Linked DNA regions of Danio rerio. The protein of the gene in region 1 binds, or shares a complex with, the protein of each later gene. Links are inferred from orthologs where the notes say so. Each region holds a gene or a part of one and is shown in the gene's direction. Other genes may lie near its edges.

The links.
Region 2: srrm1 (region 1) and rbm48 share a complex: the UniProt entries of both Homo sapiens proteins name them as parts of the minor spliceosome. The link is inferred for Danio rerio from reciprocal best matches to the Homo sapiens genes SRRM1 and RBM48.
Region 3: srrm1 (region 1) and sf3b5 share a complex: the UniProt entries of both Homo sapiens proteins name them as parts of the minor spliceosome. The link is inferred for Danio rerio from reciprocal best matches to the Homo sapiens genes SRRM1 and SF3B5.
Region 4: srrm1 (region 1) and snrpd2 share a complex: the UniProt entries of both Homo sapiens proteins name them as parts of the minor spliceosome. The link is inferred for Danio rerio from reciprocal best matches to the Homo sapiens genes SRRM1 and SNRPD2.

Annotation. Positions count from the first base shown.
Region 1 is NC_133192.1:26,823,025-26,827,165, forward strand, and holds the start of srrm1 (serine/arginine repetitive matrix protein 1), read left to right. Parts: upstream 1-1,341; 5' UTR 1,342-1,472; intron 1,473-4,141. UniProt on the Homo sapiens protein: Part of pre- and post-splicing multiprotein mRNP complexes. As a component of the minor spliceosome, involved in the splicing of U12-type introns in pre-mRNAs. Involved in numerous pre-mRNA processing events.
Region 2 is NC_133194.1:42,804,731-42,808,673, forward strand, and holds the start of rbm48 (RNA-binding protein 48), read left to right. Parts: upstream 1-1,143; 5' UTR 1,144-1,220; coding exon 1,221-1,346; intron 1,347-1,482; coding exon 1,483-1,673; intron 1,674-3,525; coding exon 3,526-3,671; intron 3,672-3,755; coding exon 3,756-3,943. UniProt on the Homo sapiens protein: As a component of the minor spliceosome, involved in the splicing of U12-type introns in pre-mRNAs.
Region 3 is NC_133188.1:27,082,030-27,086,202, forward strand, and holds the start of sf3b5 (splicing factor 3B subunit 5), read left to right. Parts: upstream 1-1,373; 5' UTR 1,374-1,549; intron 1,550-4,173. UniProt on the Homo sapiens protein: Component of the 17S U2 SnRNP complex of the spliceosome, a large ribonucleoprotein complex that removes introns from transcribed pre-mRNAs.
Region 4 is NC_133193.1:43,804,206-43,807,054, reverse strand, and holds part of snrpd2 (small nuclear ribonucleoprotein Sm D2), read left to right. Parts: intron 1-533; exon of another isoform or gene 534-603; intron 604-1,314; coding exon 1,315-1,494; intron 1,495-2,849. UniProt on the Homo sapiens protein: Plays a role in pre-mRNA splicing as a core component of the spliceosomal U1, U2, U4 and U5 small nuclear ribonucleoproteins (snRNPs), the building blocks of the spliceosome.

The DNA of each region.
Region 1 (4,141 bases):
CCTCGGAACGTAAAAGCGAGGCCAACATGTCTAGAATAGAATAGGCTAAACCAATATGAACGTAAAATTATCAGCTGACCAAACTCAAAAGTTTATATTGAACATATGTGCAGCCTAAATAACATAGGCTAATTGGTTTAATATGCCTGACCTTAGGTCTAGTTTGATTTTTTCTTGGCACAATGCAGGAATAAAATGGCATCTACAGTGTCAGGATTCAGACGGGAGTGCCTGCATAGCCACTGCGCCCTGCTGCACTGAAGGAGCACTCGCTCGCAGCACTTGTTGCTGAAATGCATAGAATTCTCTTGGAAAGGTGCTGTAGTCATGGGAATGCCTGGCCTTATTTCTCCCAAAAGGAAAGTAGATTTTCCTATGCTGATCCGTCTATACGGAAGTTTGTAGAGGAATACTTTTGTACACTACATCCAGAATTAATGTATCCGATTCCTCCTCCCATTCTGTGAAGTCAGTCCTAGGCTTTTTCGTTGGTGCGCCAGCTATGAATATAAAAACAGTACAACCGCCCGCCACCCGCCCGAATTTAATTAAAATATTATTTTTTCGTAACGTCATCCGCCCGATCCGCGGTTTATCCGCGGAGTCCGCGGCTATAACCGCCAACCGCGCATCTCTGGCACACATTGCAATATCGAAGCTGAAACTATATATTGTGCAGCCCTAGTGTACATGTAAAAACACATTTTATAGCAGTGAAAACGGGGCTTCTTTTTCTGCAAGTAATATTTAGAAGAACTAAAAATTTAGGTATTTATACAAAGTAATTTTGCAAAGCAAATCATCATTTTAGGTTATTTCTGATTTGTAATTTGACAATAAACCATTTTTAGCTCAATACAAGTAAAGATCCTGTAATTATGATTATTTTATGATGTGGTTTTAGGTGGATATGACCAAGGTCAACCTGGAAGTCATCAAGCCCTGGATAACCCAGCGTGTGACAGAGATACTTGGCTTCGAGGATGATGTGGTCATTGAATTTGTCTTTAACCAGCTGGAGGAAAAGGTAGACCCCCACCTTGCTCTTCCCGCTCTTGTTTTATTTTTTTATACACATGCTGCAGTCTATATTAGATGTGTTGTGCTTTGGAAAGAAGAGAAGGTTTGAAGATCAATGAATAACCGCTGACAGTTATTTGAAACATTTGTCATGTGAAGATGTAACAGCAGAAACATCTAACATCACAGTGTTAAACTGTCTGCCTGATTTAAAAAAAGACAGAAAAGGGGGTAAAAAGATATATTTCTCTCTGAAGAAATGATTTGTGACACCGTTCCTTCTGAACAGCAATGTTCTAATGTTGATGTGATTTATGATTTAAAAGGCCTGAACCAATATGGATCTTATTCCTTGCATCTGAAGTATAGCACCAACTCCTAATTAGATCTCAACTGAGCCCAAAGTCTCTCTGAATCCAACTCTCCCTTGATGATGAGCTTTATTTTTTGAGGTGAGTTATGAGCAGGGCTTGACATTGTGCCAGTGGTAGAGTCATTTCAGCTTGATCATTTGTGCCTTTCTGTTTTAGTCAAAGTTTAGCAGTACATCTTAAACATAAAGGCCTGATTTATCACTTTTATGGAAATGAAAACTATTAAGGAATAAAATGAAAAGATGATTTTGCATGTAGGATGATAATGCAGTACAACATTGGTAGTGTAAGAGACTTGTTTTTTTTTTTTACTTGAGTCTCAGTTACTTGCTCATCTGTCAGTTATTAAAGACTTTGTTTTTTGTATGATTGTGCCTTTAAACAGTACGAAAAAAAGAGACGTGACCCTTTTTATCTGTTTTAGATAGGCTCTCTGTATTAGTTGCTATTTTAGTCTGTACAGATTTAATTTTCAGGAAGATTTTGCTGGGATTCCAGAGAGGTATTTGCTCTTATTTATAATACATTAAGGTGTTTCCTTAGTCTAAAACATACTTTTAATTTGTCATGGCATAGCCATATAGTAATTTGAAGAAATTCTTCAAGTTGAGCTTAATCAACAGTGTTTGTGGAATAATATGATATACCTAAGAGAATAATTTAGTCATCTTTTCTTTGTTAAAATAAAACATTTAATTACAGTTATTTGTAATTTAATTACAGCGATTATGACTGCCAGGATGAAAAGAATAAAAAGTTTGTTGAATCACTCTAAAATCAAAATCTTGAATAAACATTTTAACTTGCTAACAATTAATTAACTTTTTTTTTGTATAGTAAATATGCTCGCATATTTAAATGAAGGGTGCATTACTTGATTTTTTGCGATTGATTATTTTTGTCATAATTGTAATCACGATTATTCAAAATGATTACTGTTAAAGTCAAAATTATTAGTGCTCCTGTGAATTTTTTAAATAATTATTTCCCAAATTATGTTTAACAGAGCAAGGAATTTTAATAGTATTTTCTCTAATATTTTTTTCTTTTGGAGAAAGTCTTTTTATTTCAGCTAGAATAAAAGCAGGTTTAAATATTTTGAAACTTATTTTAAGGTCAATATTATAAGCCCCTTAAGGCAATGTATATTTTTTATTGTCTGCAGAAGAAACTACTGTTACACAATGACTTAACAATGACCCTAATTAAGCCTTCGAATCGCACTTTGAATCTGAATGCTTGTATTTTGAAAAATTTCTAGTCCAATATCATGTGCTGTCATCATAGCAAAAATAAAAGAAATCAGTTATTATAAATGAGTTATTAAAACTACTATGTTTAGAAATGTGTTTAAAAAAAATGTTTCCATTAAACAAAATTTGGGGGAAACGGGTTGCTAATATTCTGGAGGGCTAATAATTCTGACTTCAACAGTTATTTTCCTCCCTGCAAAGGTAAGAGAAATAAATACAATAAAATAACACTTAAGCTACAAAAGTCCTTCATTCAAGAGCAGTAAGGGATTTTCTCCTTTTTTTATTTGATTAATACTGATCGAAACAGGCGGTAGCAGAAATAGTGCGCTGTCACTTTAAAGGTTTCGCTTTTACGTTTCTTTTGATTCTCAACTCGTTTGTTTATTACACAAATGAGGGTTAATATGAATAATCACTAAACACCGCGTATGGACGCCTATTTGAAAATTAAAACGCTCACATTAATGACTTTAGATGTGCGCTCTGCTCGTCACCGTGTGCGAATGAGACCGAATGCTGACCGCATGCTTCTGACTGTGTGTGCTCGCTGCACACACACAAACAGGAGCATGCGGTTTAGTTCGTGCTTTTAAGAGCAACAAATGTTTACAACTGGAAAGGGGGCGGTAAATAATGTAATAATCGTTCATCTCGATTAATGGTTTTTCATAATTGTTGGAAGCCAAAATCGGATTTTCGATTAATTGCACAGCCCTACTGGATAATATTGTAGTATTTTATTAAAGAGCCTGCACCATAATTATATAAGATTTTCAAAATGTTTTTATGCAAGCGCACACAGAGATAACTGATATATATATCACTCTTCCTCGCATGGTTTCATTGTGCCAATATAAATTCATTGCTGTAGAATGCAAGTAAGTCAATACTTAAAAGTCTTTGGCATCTAAAAAAAGAAGTAAATGTTTCAATTATTCCACAGATCCTGTTGAGAGAGCTTGACCTGTATAAAGTCAGACACATTTGTATAGGCCTTATTTTAGAACAGCAGGTGCTCAGTCCTGCTCTTGAAGATCTACTTCATTGCAAACTTCTGCTCCAGCTCTTCTTAAAACCGAACTCTGGTGCACATCTTCAGGAGCACGATTTAGCACGTGTGTCTTAGTTAACGGGTCTAATAGGATTGATTTTCCTCTTCATTTTGTTGTTAATAAAACCTTTTCTATGCCTTGTGTACTCATTATTGCTTGTTCGTCTCTTGCAATTTAGATAAATGATATAGCATTAAACTCAAGGTGATTGAGTGTGATGCGGTAGTGAGGCGGAGGCCAGCCAATGGAGCGCCTTTCTCCGCCCCCCCAGCCCACAGAGCCTGCGCCACTCACACTGAAGACAACTGGACTGTTCTTGCTTTGTGGGGTTTTGATGCACTCTGTTTGTGGACTGTAATGTTTCTATCTCTCAGGAGTTTGATATTGCACAGGATGAGACAGCCATAGTGGTTGGGAGGGTCTTATTGCTCCTTGACGG
Region 2 (3,943 bases), on another chromosome or scaffold:
CAGCTGCAGATATACACACGTTTCAGGCACACACGATCTAAGTTAGACGGGTGTTAATGTTATTAACCTCTTCTCGGACATCATCAATATATTTTACACATAAGGTTATTGTTAATATGTATTGTATAGGCAAACACTGTAAACAATAATGCATAGGCATACCATTTCACAAATATAGCGATCAAGACGGGCGAATGGGGAATAATCACCATTCAATATAATACACTGAACAGTTTTCCATCAGTCATCATAGATGATCAGTCATTATTTATCTGACAAAGTCAACATAGCAGATTCTCGTTTGCTCAAACATTTTAAACGATCTAATTTGGACAGGTTTAATTTATTTAATGGATGCATAATGAATGAAATATAGCTAATGTACAGGATAGGCTAATAGCCTACATCATTATATCAATGTAATGTACAAATCTTTTTACATTTAATAAATGTAAAACACTGTTAATCTTTTACTCCAGCAACTGAATAGTATATATTTGCTTAATTTTCTAATAATTTTTATAATGATCTCCCACATTAAATAGGCCTACTAGTAATTTATAGTAATATATTGAGTTCACCCCAAAAAATCAAATGGGCTCACTATTTACTCAGAGGTTCAGGTGGTTCCAAGCTTTTCTGAGTTTCTTTATTCTGCTGAACACAAGAGATGTTTTGAAGAATGCTGAAAATAATTATATGGAAGTTTTGTATTATATGTATTTTTAAAAATCCTAATTTGTGTTAAGAAGAAAGTAAATCAAAATGGTTTGGAACAAGTCAACAACCTAGTAAATAATGACAGAATTTTCGGTTTTGAGTGAACTAACCCTTTAAATGGGTAAAAAAAGAAGCTTGTTTTAAACGTTAAAAACTTAAAATAAATTTATAATATAGTTTATAATTAATTCGTCTGCATTTATAATAGTTGCGACATTTTCTGCGAGTTAGCATCTTACAATTTTGACTTTTGTCCAAATCTTTTTGATATTTATTTTATTTTGTTAGAAGTGTTTATCATAATTTGGATGTGTAAATGAATTATTATTATAATTATCATCGTCATTATCATTATAATATTTTTTTATCACCATCATCATTATTCTTCTTAATATTATTTTTATTAGCATCCTTTTGGGAAAGCGGGCTTTTATTTATTTTTTCTAATTGGAACTTTTATTTTGAAAGCCTGTTTTTTTTCGTCGCTGATTTCCACAGTGATGGACGGGTCAGTTGCTAGTTCCTCTGTGTGGGACACACAAAAAGTGTATAAACATCACGAGCAGCAAAATGTTGCCCAAACGCGACCAAAATACAGAGAAGGAAGACGCCTCAAAGCTGTTAAGGTCGGTTTATTTTATAAATGCCTTTATCTCATCGAATTGTGCAGCGTCAATGTAAGCAGTCATGTTGTCTTTAAGGTCTCTCTCACAAGAACTGAATCTCTGCTTATAAAAATAATGGCTGAATCGCTAATTTTAGGTGTACACCATCAACCTGGAGTCTCGGTATTTACTAGTTCAAGGAGTGCCCGCTATTGGAGTGATGGCTGAGCTGGTGCAGCTGTTTGCTCTGTATGGAGTGATCGAGGAGTACAGGCCACTGGATGAATACCCAGCAGAAGAGTTCACTGAGGTTTACTTAATTCAGTTCCAGAAGTTGACGAGTGCACGGTAAGAAAAGGCTGATTAAATCATGTCCCATGCGAGTCTGTGCCATATATTATATATTGTGCCATATTTTTCTTGTTGATGATATAATTTCAGAAAAGTATTCTTTGCATATTCTTAATAGTGAATCAAATTAGCAGCTAGTGACTATCAAAGTTCAACATTGTTCACAGTCAAATAAATAGTGGTAATGCTGATTTGAAGTCATACTTGCATGTGATTTCAAACCCAATATTAAAAGTACCATGGTAAACAATATAGGGAGCATGTCACAAGTTGTCATTGAAAGAATGTGTGAATCTAAAACCATCCTTACCTCAATGTACCATGTTGGTGCACTGCAGAGTCGCATTCACTTTTAGTTAAAGGGATAGTTGACTCAAATACTGTAACAATAACAATTTATTCACCCTCAAGTGGTTTGAAACACAAAGGAAGATATTTTGAAATCTGGAATCCAGTAACCATCAACTTGCATAGTAGGACAAATAAATAGTATTGAAGTCAATGGTTACCGGCTTCAAGCTTTCTTTAAAATATCGTTTGTGTTCAGCTCAGACGATGTTTGTGACATGTAACGGGTGAGTAAATGATGTCTATTTTTATTTTGGAGTGAACTGTCTTTGTAGGTTCCACAAAATGTGACTTAAAACATTATGATTCATTATTAAAATATTAAATAAACACATATAGAAAACTATATACAGTACACACACTACCATACAATTGTTTGGAGTCTTCCATTTTGAAAATGATTTTGAAAGAAGCATCTTATGCTCACCAAGTCAGCTAATATTTTTTTAACTAAAAACAAAGCATCAACAATCGGATGTATTATTACATTGTCACATTTTCTATCTTGTTTAAAAGTGTAATGTATTGTGTTGAGGATGAAGGGTAATTTTCATGCTTGGTACTCGCATTTATACATGGTTATTGTCACATGACTCTTCGGAAATAATTAATTTGCTGATTTGTTGTGCAGTATATAATTTCTAATTATTATCAATGTTGTAAAGTTGCACAACTTAACATCCAAAACATCTAAGGGTTTTTTTTTTTTTTGTTCAAGATTCTTTAATGTTCTTTAGTGTCTCTTTCTCTTTAATAACACTGTAAATCTCTTTACTGCCATTAAACATTTTAAGAATATTATAAAGAGTATTTATTGCTGATAATTCTATAAATACTTTTTTACATATTTTTTCCCCTCTAAACCAAAGCAAAAATCAAAGAATAATTATTTCAAATATATGGAATTAAGTAATCGTAGTTATTTTAATTATATTTTAATAAAACTATATATTTTTAGGATAGTGTCAAAGTAAAAATAGCTGTACTGGGATTTTTAAAAATATGCCTGACAAAAATTGTTTTTCTTATAAACTATTGTTACACTGAATGACATCCACTCACCGGCCACTTTATTAGGTACACCTTACTAGTACCGGGTTTGACCTCAGAACTGCTTTTATCCTTTCTGGCATGGATTTAACAAGGAGCTGGAAATATTCCTCATTAATTTTGGTCCATATTGACATGATAGCATGTCATTGAGCAGATAGGATGGATCCATGCTTTCATGTTTGAACTGGAGCAGATTGTCTCGACCATGTACATGCATAAATGAATTGAGTTGCTTTCATGTAATTGGCTGCATAGAAATTGGTGTTTACGAGCAGTTGGACAGGTGTACCTAGCAAAATGGCCAGTGAGTGGATATTGCCATGCTATATATATATATATATATATATATATATATATATATATATATATATATATATATATATATATATATATATATATATAATTTTTTTTTTTTTTTAAATTAATTAATTAATTTATTTTTTTACAGGGCAGCTAAAAGGCACACAGATGAAAAGAGCTTCTTCGGGGGTCAGCTGCATGTCTGCTATGCTCCTGAGTATGAAACCGTGGAGGAAACAAAGCAGAAATTACAAGACAGAAGGAGATATGTTAACTGGGCAAGCCGAAATGCAGGTATGGTAATGCATTGGTATTCTCTCTAAATAAATTGCATGTGTAGAAAGTCTAACAACTATCATATGCTTATTTTGTTTTCAGCACAACTACACAGTCAGCAAGCGGAAGTAAACACAGAGTCATCATCAAGCACAGACACACGAACAGCTGAAGCTCCTAAAATGCAGAAAAACCCTGAAGAAGCCAGAAGGGAGAACGTAAATTCTGACTATATGGGATTTCCTCTGTTGCCTTTGCCTCCAACAGCAGATATTTCTTATAGACTTCAA
Region 3 (4,173 bases), on another chromosome or scaffold:
TGTTGGCTAAGTGAAGTAAATGCTAGTTTTTTAAATAACTTATAAGGGTGCCTGATACCATTACAGTATCTGGACATTAATTTGAATACTGTCCACCCAGAATTATTGAATATTACAAATTTTATACCATTTAGATCAGAAAGGTGGATATTATGCACATTAAAGCAGGTATATCAATAGTTCACACAAATTGTTCACAACAGAGATGCATTCACAAACGAATTGCTCCCTTAGTTGGCATTAGAAGTGGAAGTGGACGATGAAGTGTGTTTCAGGACATGGATTAGATCAAATTTAACAGGTAGGGAGGATAATACATTTCTATGGACACGAACACTCGCAATGCCCATGCAGTCACGTATCCATCTATGTGAAAAAGTGATGTAAAATTATAATTAAGCATTATTAACAATAATAAAAGCAAGAATAGAGAAATTATGTAAAGAGAAAATTGATTGATTGATTGATTGATTGATTGATTGATTGATTGATTGATTGATTGATTGATTGATTGATTGGTTGATTGATTGCAATTAAGTGTTGATGGAACACAGTATTTTTCAGCTGTCTCTCAGATATTGACAGGGATTCAAGATTCAAGGCTTGGAAATGGATTCAACCAGCAAGAACAGAACAGTGAACAAAAATGTCCTGGAAATAATTTTTTAGTCATCATATATGATATATAATAATACCTTGTGGTCATGTGCAAGTAACATAACTTTGTAAAGTTTTTAGAATGTAATATGTCGAGAAAAAAATAAGGTTACCTTGCAAATTTCCACCAAAAACAGTTCACATGGCAGGAGGGATTTCTTTGTTTATGAATCAATGGTAGAAGAAATGTTGAAGAAGTGCTGTTGATTGACTTTGTGACAACTAGTGGATTTTTTGGCATAATATAATTCAGTCAGACATAGAGTTGAATTAGGAACTTCTCTTGATAACATTAATATTATTATTAACATTAAATTAATAATAACATTAAAATTTCATTTAGACTGCTGATCGTAGGCTAAGCAACAATATCAAGTCAGTCAGAAGCCCTGGTGCTCTTTGGGTAATGCAAGAAACCTATTATGGAGGATTTTTACAATGTATGTAATTACATTATATAACCTAGAGATTTTACATAACATTATTTTATTACACATTTATCTTCTATTATTATCAGTGAAATGTTCAAGCTGTTGCTAAGCTGACTGTTTTTCCAAACCTCTGAAATTTCCTAGAGCAGTATTTATGATAGTCACGTAAGCTAATATAATGTAAGCTAGAATCAATATTCCACCTCCACACATCCCACATTTAAGGTATATGTAATACGGAGGATAAGAAGTCGTTATCACAATAATAAGGCCCAGCAGCATGAGCAGCGCTTTCCACCAGAGCGGAACTCTTGACTGCAGTGATATTTTCCACACATACAGATTTCAGAGTAACTATTTCCGGTCCGGTTGAAGTCACCTCGCACAGCCATTGTGTACAATAACTGCTGGGGGAATCATTCATTCGTTTTTCCATAAAACATCACAGTTTTTCATTATAGGTAAGCATACCGATAATATTTACAGAAATACCCACCACTAGTTTTAGCCGAAGGAGAAAAATAATTGCATTCTTTGAAGTAATGTAATTTTGCCACATTCGCATACCTAAGTTAGTTTGTTCACAGCGCAACGTTAGCTTACGTTATGATGATTGGTCTTTGTTTTAATTTATGAAATAAGTTATTTTTTTCTTTTCATATTTTTAAATGTTCATAATTTTGAATAACGCACGCATTTAGTCATACTGCGTTAAGTCAAGCGTGCTTTCAGGGTGCCCGCGGAGACCTAAAAAGATAGAGGTAACGTTAAAGTTAGTTTTATATTAGCACATTCTGACTTTCCCCTTAATAATACAGTTTCATAACAGTATTATTTGCAAACTCTAAATGGCGAAATCGTATTAGCAGCCAATGACTTTCAAAGTACAACATTGTTCCCTGTCAAATAAACAGTGTTAATGTTGTTTTCAAGTCACACTTGCATGCTAATTCCGATCGAATATTGAAAGTAACATGGTAAACATTATAGACACATCTAAATGAACAAATGTGTGAATATAAAACCAACTTTACCTCTAACAAATGTTTGAATATAAAACCAACTTTACCTCTATCTTAAAAAGTCTTATATTTCCAAAACACAATTGTAGACCTTAAAAAGTCTTAAATTTATTTAAATATGGTATTGTAGGTAAGCCTCAATAATTTTAAAACGGTCTTTAATTTTCCTTTTTTGTATCAAAGGTTACCCAATCAACCCAACACACACCCAATCATTAACAATACATCTCAATTAAACTTTTAGCAAAGCTCTATTTATAAGCAATATTATAACATCGTGTTGTGCATACAATAGTTTATTAAATTTTTTAACAGTTATTTTTTTTAAGTTATGTTGAAAAAAATGCATATATACAACTAGGGTCTGCTTTATTTGACACATTATTTAAAATATATATAATTTTATTTTTCCTGCAGGGCCATTAAAAAAAAAACCTATTGCGTTTATACCTATATGTGTCTGAAATCTCATTCTTGATGGTCTTAAAAAGGTCTTTAAAAGTTTTAAATTAGACCTGGTGAAACCTGCAGAAACCCTGGCTTTGTAAATGTGCAATACCTCTGAGCTACAACAACATGCTAAATGATCCACATTTGACTTCTTTGGTCAATTTTATCAATCTGGATTTGAATCTGCATTTATATCCCAATGCGTCTTTGAGACTAAACCGTATAGCGCTTTACGAAGCAAGAATTCAAATGGAATGCAGTCTATGTGTAGATAAAGATATGTAGTACTTGTAGAATACTGCATACTTGCATACTGTTATGCAAACACTGGAAAAATAAGTTATTTATTTTTGTTCTATGCTATTGATCAGATCTGTATTCTAGTTTGAAACATAATGCATTTATAGTTTATTTTTAAATTTGTTAATTTTATTGATTTACTTATTGCGCTACATTAAAACAAACCTGTCTCCTAAAACGGATCATAAAAGGCCCTAAATATTACTATACCGTAATAGTAGTTTTTGGAGAACAACAAAATAAGGATATTTAGACGTTTACAATGGCTAAAACACAAAATTCTTCCTATTTTTGAATCAGACATACCAATGTGTTTGTAAAATAATAATGATTTGATTATTTTTATTATTTTACAAGCACATTAGTATGTCTGATACAGTGTCATAGGGCTGCATGATATTGGAAAAATTTAACATAGTGAGTTAGATTGATTAGGATGATTGTAGGGGAGTGCATATGCATAAAATATAAACGATCTACAATTAACAAAAAAAATGGAATTATATAAACAGCGTTTTATTGTTGTTCCAGGAGTCAAACTGTGATCAGGTATACAGTAATTAAAATGTAAAATAATACTGCATAGTCTTCGTATTAGAACCAATTCAATAGAATTTGTCAAAGTTAAAAACAGTTCAATTTCTGAGGCCTGCACGCTTTTAAAACTCTCACAGACCCTTAAAAAACACTTAAAAGGATGAGTTATAATCCAAGCTCAACATAGGCCTGGGCAATATTGCAAAAAAAGGATCACAATATCAGGTTTTATATAGTTCGATATAGATAACTATTGAATATTTTTAACAGTACATTTGTGAATATTAGGATTTGTTTTATTTAACCACTTTATTTTAATTTACCAACATTACTGAGGCAAATAGTTTTAATAGTCAAGAACAAAATATTTAAACAGACTATCTGATCTCTTTATTATATAAATATAAGTGGTAAAGAAACTCCTAAACTTGATAAATAAAATGTTAAAAAGTGTACACAATGGCAAAGAGTAAACGCTGAACAATTAAAGCAAACTTTGAGGTTTACTGTATCATTATTCATACCTTAAACTCTGTCAACAAAACAAATTATGATAATCAAATCTGAGCTTTCAAGTAAAGAAACCGACCATCATTATTCAAATACATGTTACAAAATTGTGAGGTTGAATGACTTCATTACCCACTAAGCTAAAAAAAATCTTTCACATGGGGAGCTAGTGGCTGAGATGCACAAGAAAAGAAACCAGAAAGACTCTCTAGCGACATCCTTACATCCTTTTTATTTACAATCTCTTCACTGCTGCTCTATGGCAC
Region 4 (2,849 bases), on another chromosome or scaffold:
CTTGTTTATCAGATGTCTCCTCGCTGCTCATCTTCACCGTGTTCACCGGGGATGATATTTACACACGCTGTGAAGTTTGTCATACCTCCGCGGATGCGCACTTCCGTTCATTTGCATGGAGCGACCTAACTGGCATCTGTTTAAAGATTTAAAGTTTACATGAATCTTTGACGCTGACATAAGAAAAATAGCATTTTAAAAATTACTTTAAATAATCCGGGAGCAGTTTCATTTAGTGAACCACCTTAGCGTCTAGTTCAGGTTCCTTTCCATGCTACTGTGAATATTCTGTCTAATACAGCATATATGACTTCAAAACAACATTAGCAGTATTTCATTGACTGTGTGTGAAAAAGTTGTACTTTGATAGTCATTGGCTGTCTGCTAATATGATTTCCCAATGTAGAATATAAAACCAACTTTACCTCAATGTAAATATTATAGGGACTGTGTCACATGTTGTCTCTGAATGAATGTGTCAATTTAAATTTTACTTCTCCTCAATTTAAATATGTTACTATTGCAGTGTGAATGGATGTAGCTCAGTGGTAGAGCGCATGCTTTGCATGTATGAGGTCCTGGGTTCAATCCCCAGTATCTCCAAGAGCCTTTCGAGGTTCTGTCCACAGACGATAAACAGGGTTAAGAAAGTGGTGTATGGTCATAGGTTTAGTTGCAGCGTCTTCAATTGTCTTATCACACTAACTGTACAAAAAAAAAAAAAAAAAAAAACTACTAACACTTCCCTTCTTAGACTTTACAGACCTGAAACTTGCCTTTAGTACTTATTCATTGTTGCTCTTAGTTGTGTAAATTGCTTCCTTGTCCTCATTTGTAAGTCGCTTTGGATAAAAGCGTCTGCTAAATGACTAAATGTAAATGTAAATGAAGAGATAAAATTGCTTTAAAAAAAAAAGTATGCAAAAGTAAGCCTATATTAACATGGCTATTTTTTTAAAGTACTCATGGCTAGGGTTTTATACTTGCATATTCATTCAGTGACAACTTGTGACATGGTTTTCTACATTAATTACCTTTCAACTTTGAATATTCGGTCTGAAATCGCATCCAAGTAGGACTTAACATCATTAGCACTATTTTATTGTCTGTAAACAATGTTGTACTTTGATATTCATTGACTGCTAATATAACTTCCCCATTTAGAATTAAGAAATAATGCTTTTCTTAAATTATTATTATTATTATTAAGAGGAAATCCAAATATGCAAATATAAAATCACCTCAATTGTAATTTGGCCGATGTAAATTTTAGCCCTTTATGCAGACATGCTAACTGTTGAAATGTCTCATCAGGAGTTTATTAAACAAGCCCAAATCTGAGATGACTCCAGAGGAGCTCCAGAAGCGAGAGGAGGAAGAGTTTAACACCGGTCCACTTTCAGTGCTCACCCAGTCTGTGAAAAACAACACACAGGTCCTCATCAACTGCCGCAACAACAAGAAGCTGCTGGGCAGAGTCAAAGCATTCGACAGGTAACTCGTGTCATTTTGAGTGATAAATAATGCAAGCAGGCTTTGTTTACATTAGTGCTGCACAATATTTCGTGTCAGCATCAATATCCCAATGTTCGCATCTGCAATAGTCACATTTCAAAATATGCAAGAATTTTGTTGACCAAGAGCGACAGAATTGTGTTTAATTACTGTATTTATACAGGATTTAGGCAAATAAAGCATTTCTTATCATTTTTGGCTTGTTTCTAGTCCAAATGTTTACATTTCAAAGCTAAAAAAATAACAAAGTAAAAGTGAAACAAAACTATATTTACTTGATTCAAAAATTTTAGATATTTCCACTAGTAATGAGACAAAGCAAAGCAAGAAAATTATTTTTTTTTACATTGTGATTAATTTCTGTGAATTTAATTTCTGTACCTGAATACTGTTAGACTCTATTGAAAACCATCAAACAGTGCTATTTAAATTCTCTTCTAAAACTGTATCCCATATTGCAACATTTATTGCAAATTAAAATCTCACACTATCAAATTTTTCTAAAATTGTGCAGCCCTAGTTTACATGCACAGGCTTGTGTTGATATGATTAAACTTTTGAATATCTGTGTTGCAATAGTTTTCTGAACAAAGTATCTGCAGAGTAATAGTTGCATTTTGTGTCAACATAACCTATGCTTGTGTCTCCTGTTTGCTATAGGATTTGCTAAGATGTGTATTTTATTTGCTACAAATAAATTATATTGAATTATTTAATGATTTTGCTGAATATTTTCCCAATACTACCATGTAATATATAAACATAATATAAATTATTACTATATAATATCTAAACTATTACTATATAATATATAAACTATTACAATATAATATATGAACTTTTAATATAAGATATTTAATATATAAACATATTATTAACTTTTCCTATATAATATATAAACCATGAATATATAAGATATATAATATATAAACTAGGCTTGGGCGGTATCCAACCGGCGGTATACCGTCAAATCTCCTCCCTATTTTAACCAGGTATCCGGTATTACCAAGCATAATAAACAAAATTACGACGTAAGGCTCAGACAGCGTCACCAAATTGTGCCTAAACCATTCAGAAACTGATACCGTATATGCGACCTTAGGTTTGCGGTCACCTGTTTGTCTTGTTTGTATTCTTCTGCGTAGGACGCTCTTTCTTCAAACACACACACACACACACACACAGAGATAGAGAGAAAAAGAAGAGAGAGAACCAAGCAACACCCAGCAACTCTCTTTCTCTCTCTCTCTCTCTCTCTCTCTCTCTCTCTCTCTCATTCACACACACACAAACACACACCGAGAGAGAGCACCAAGTGACACACGCAGATTGCA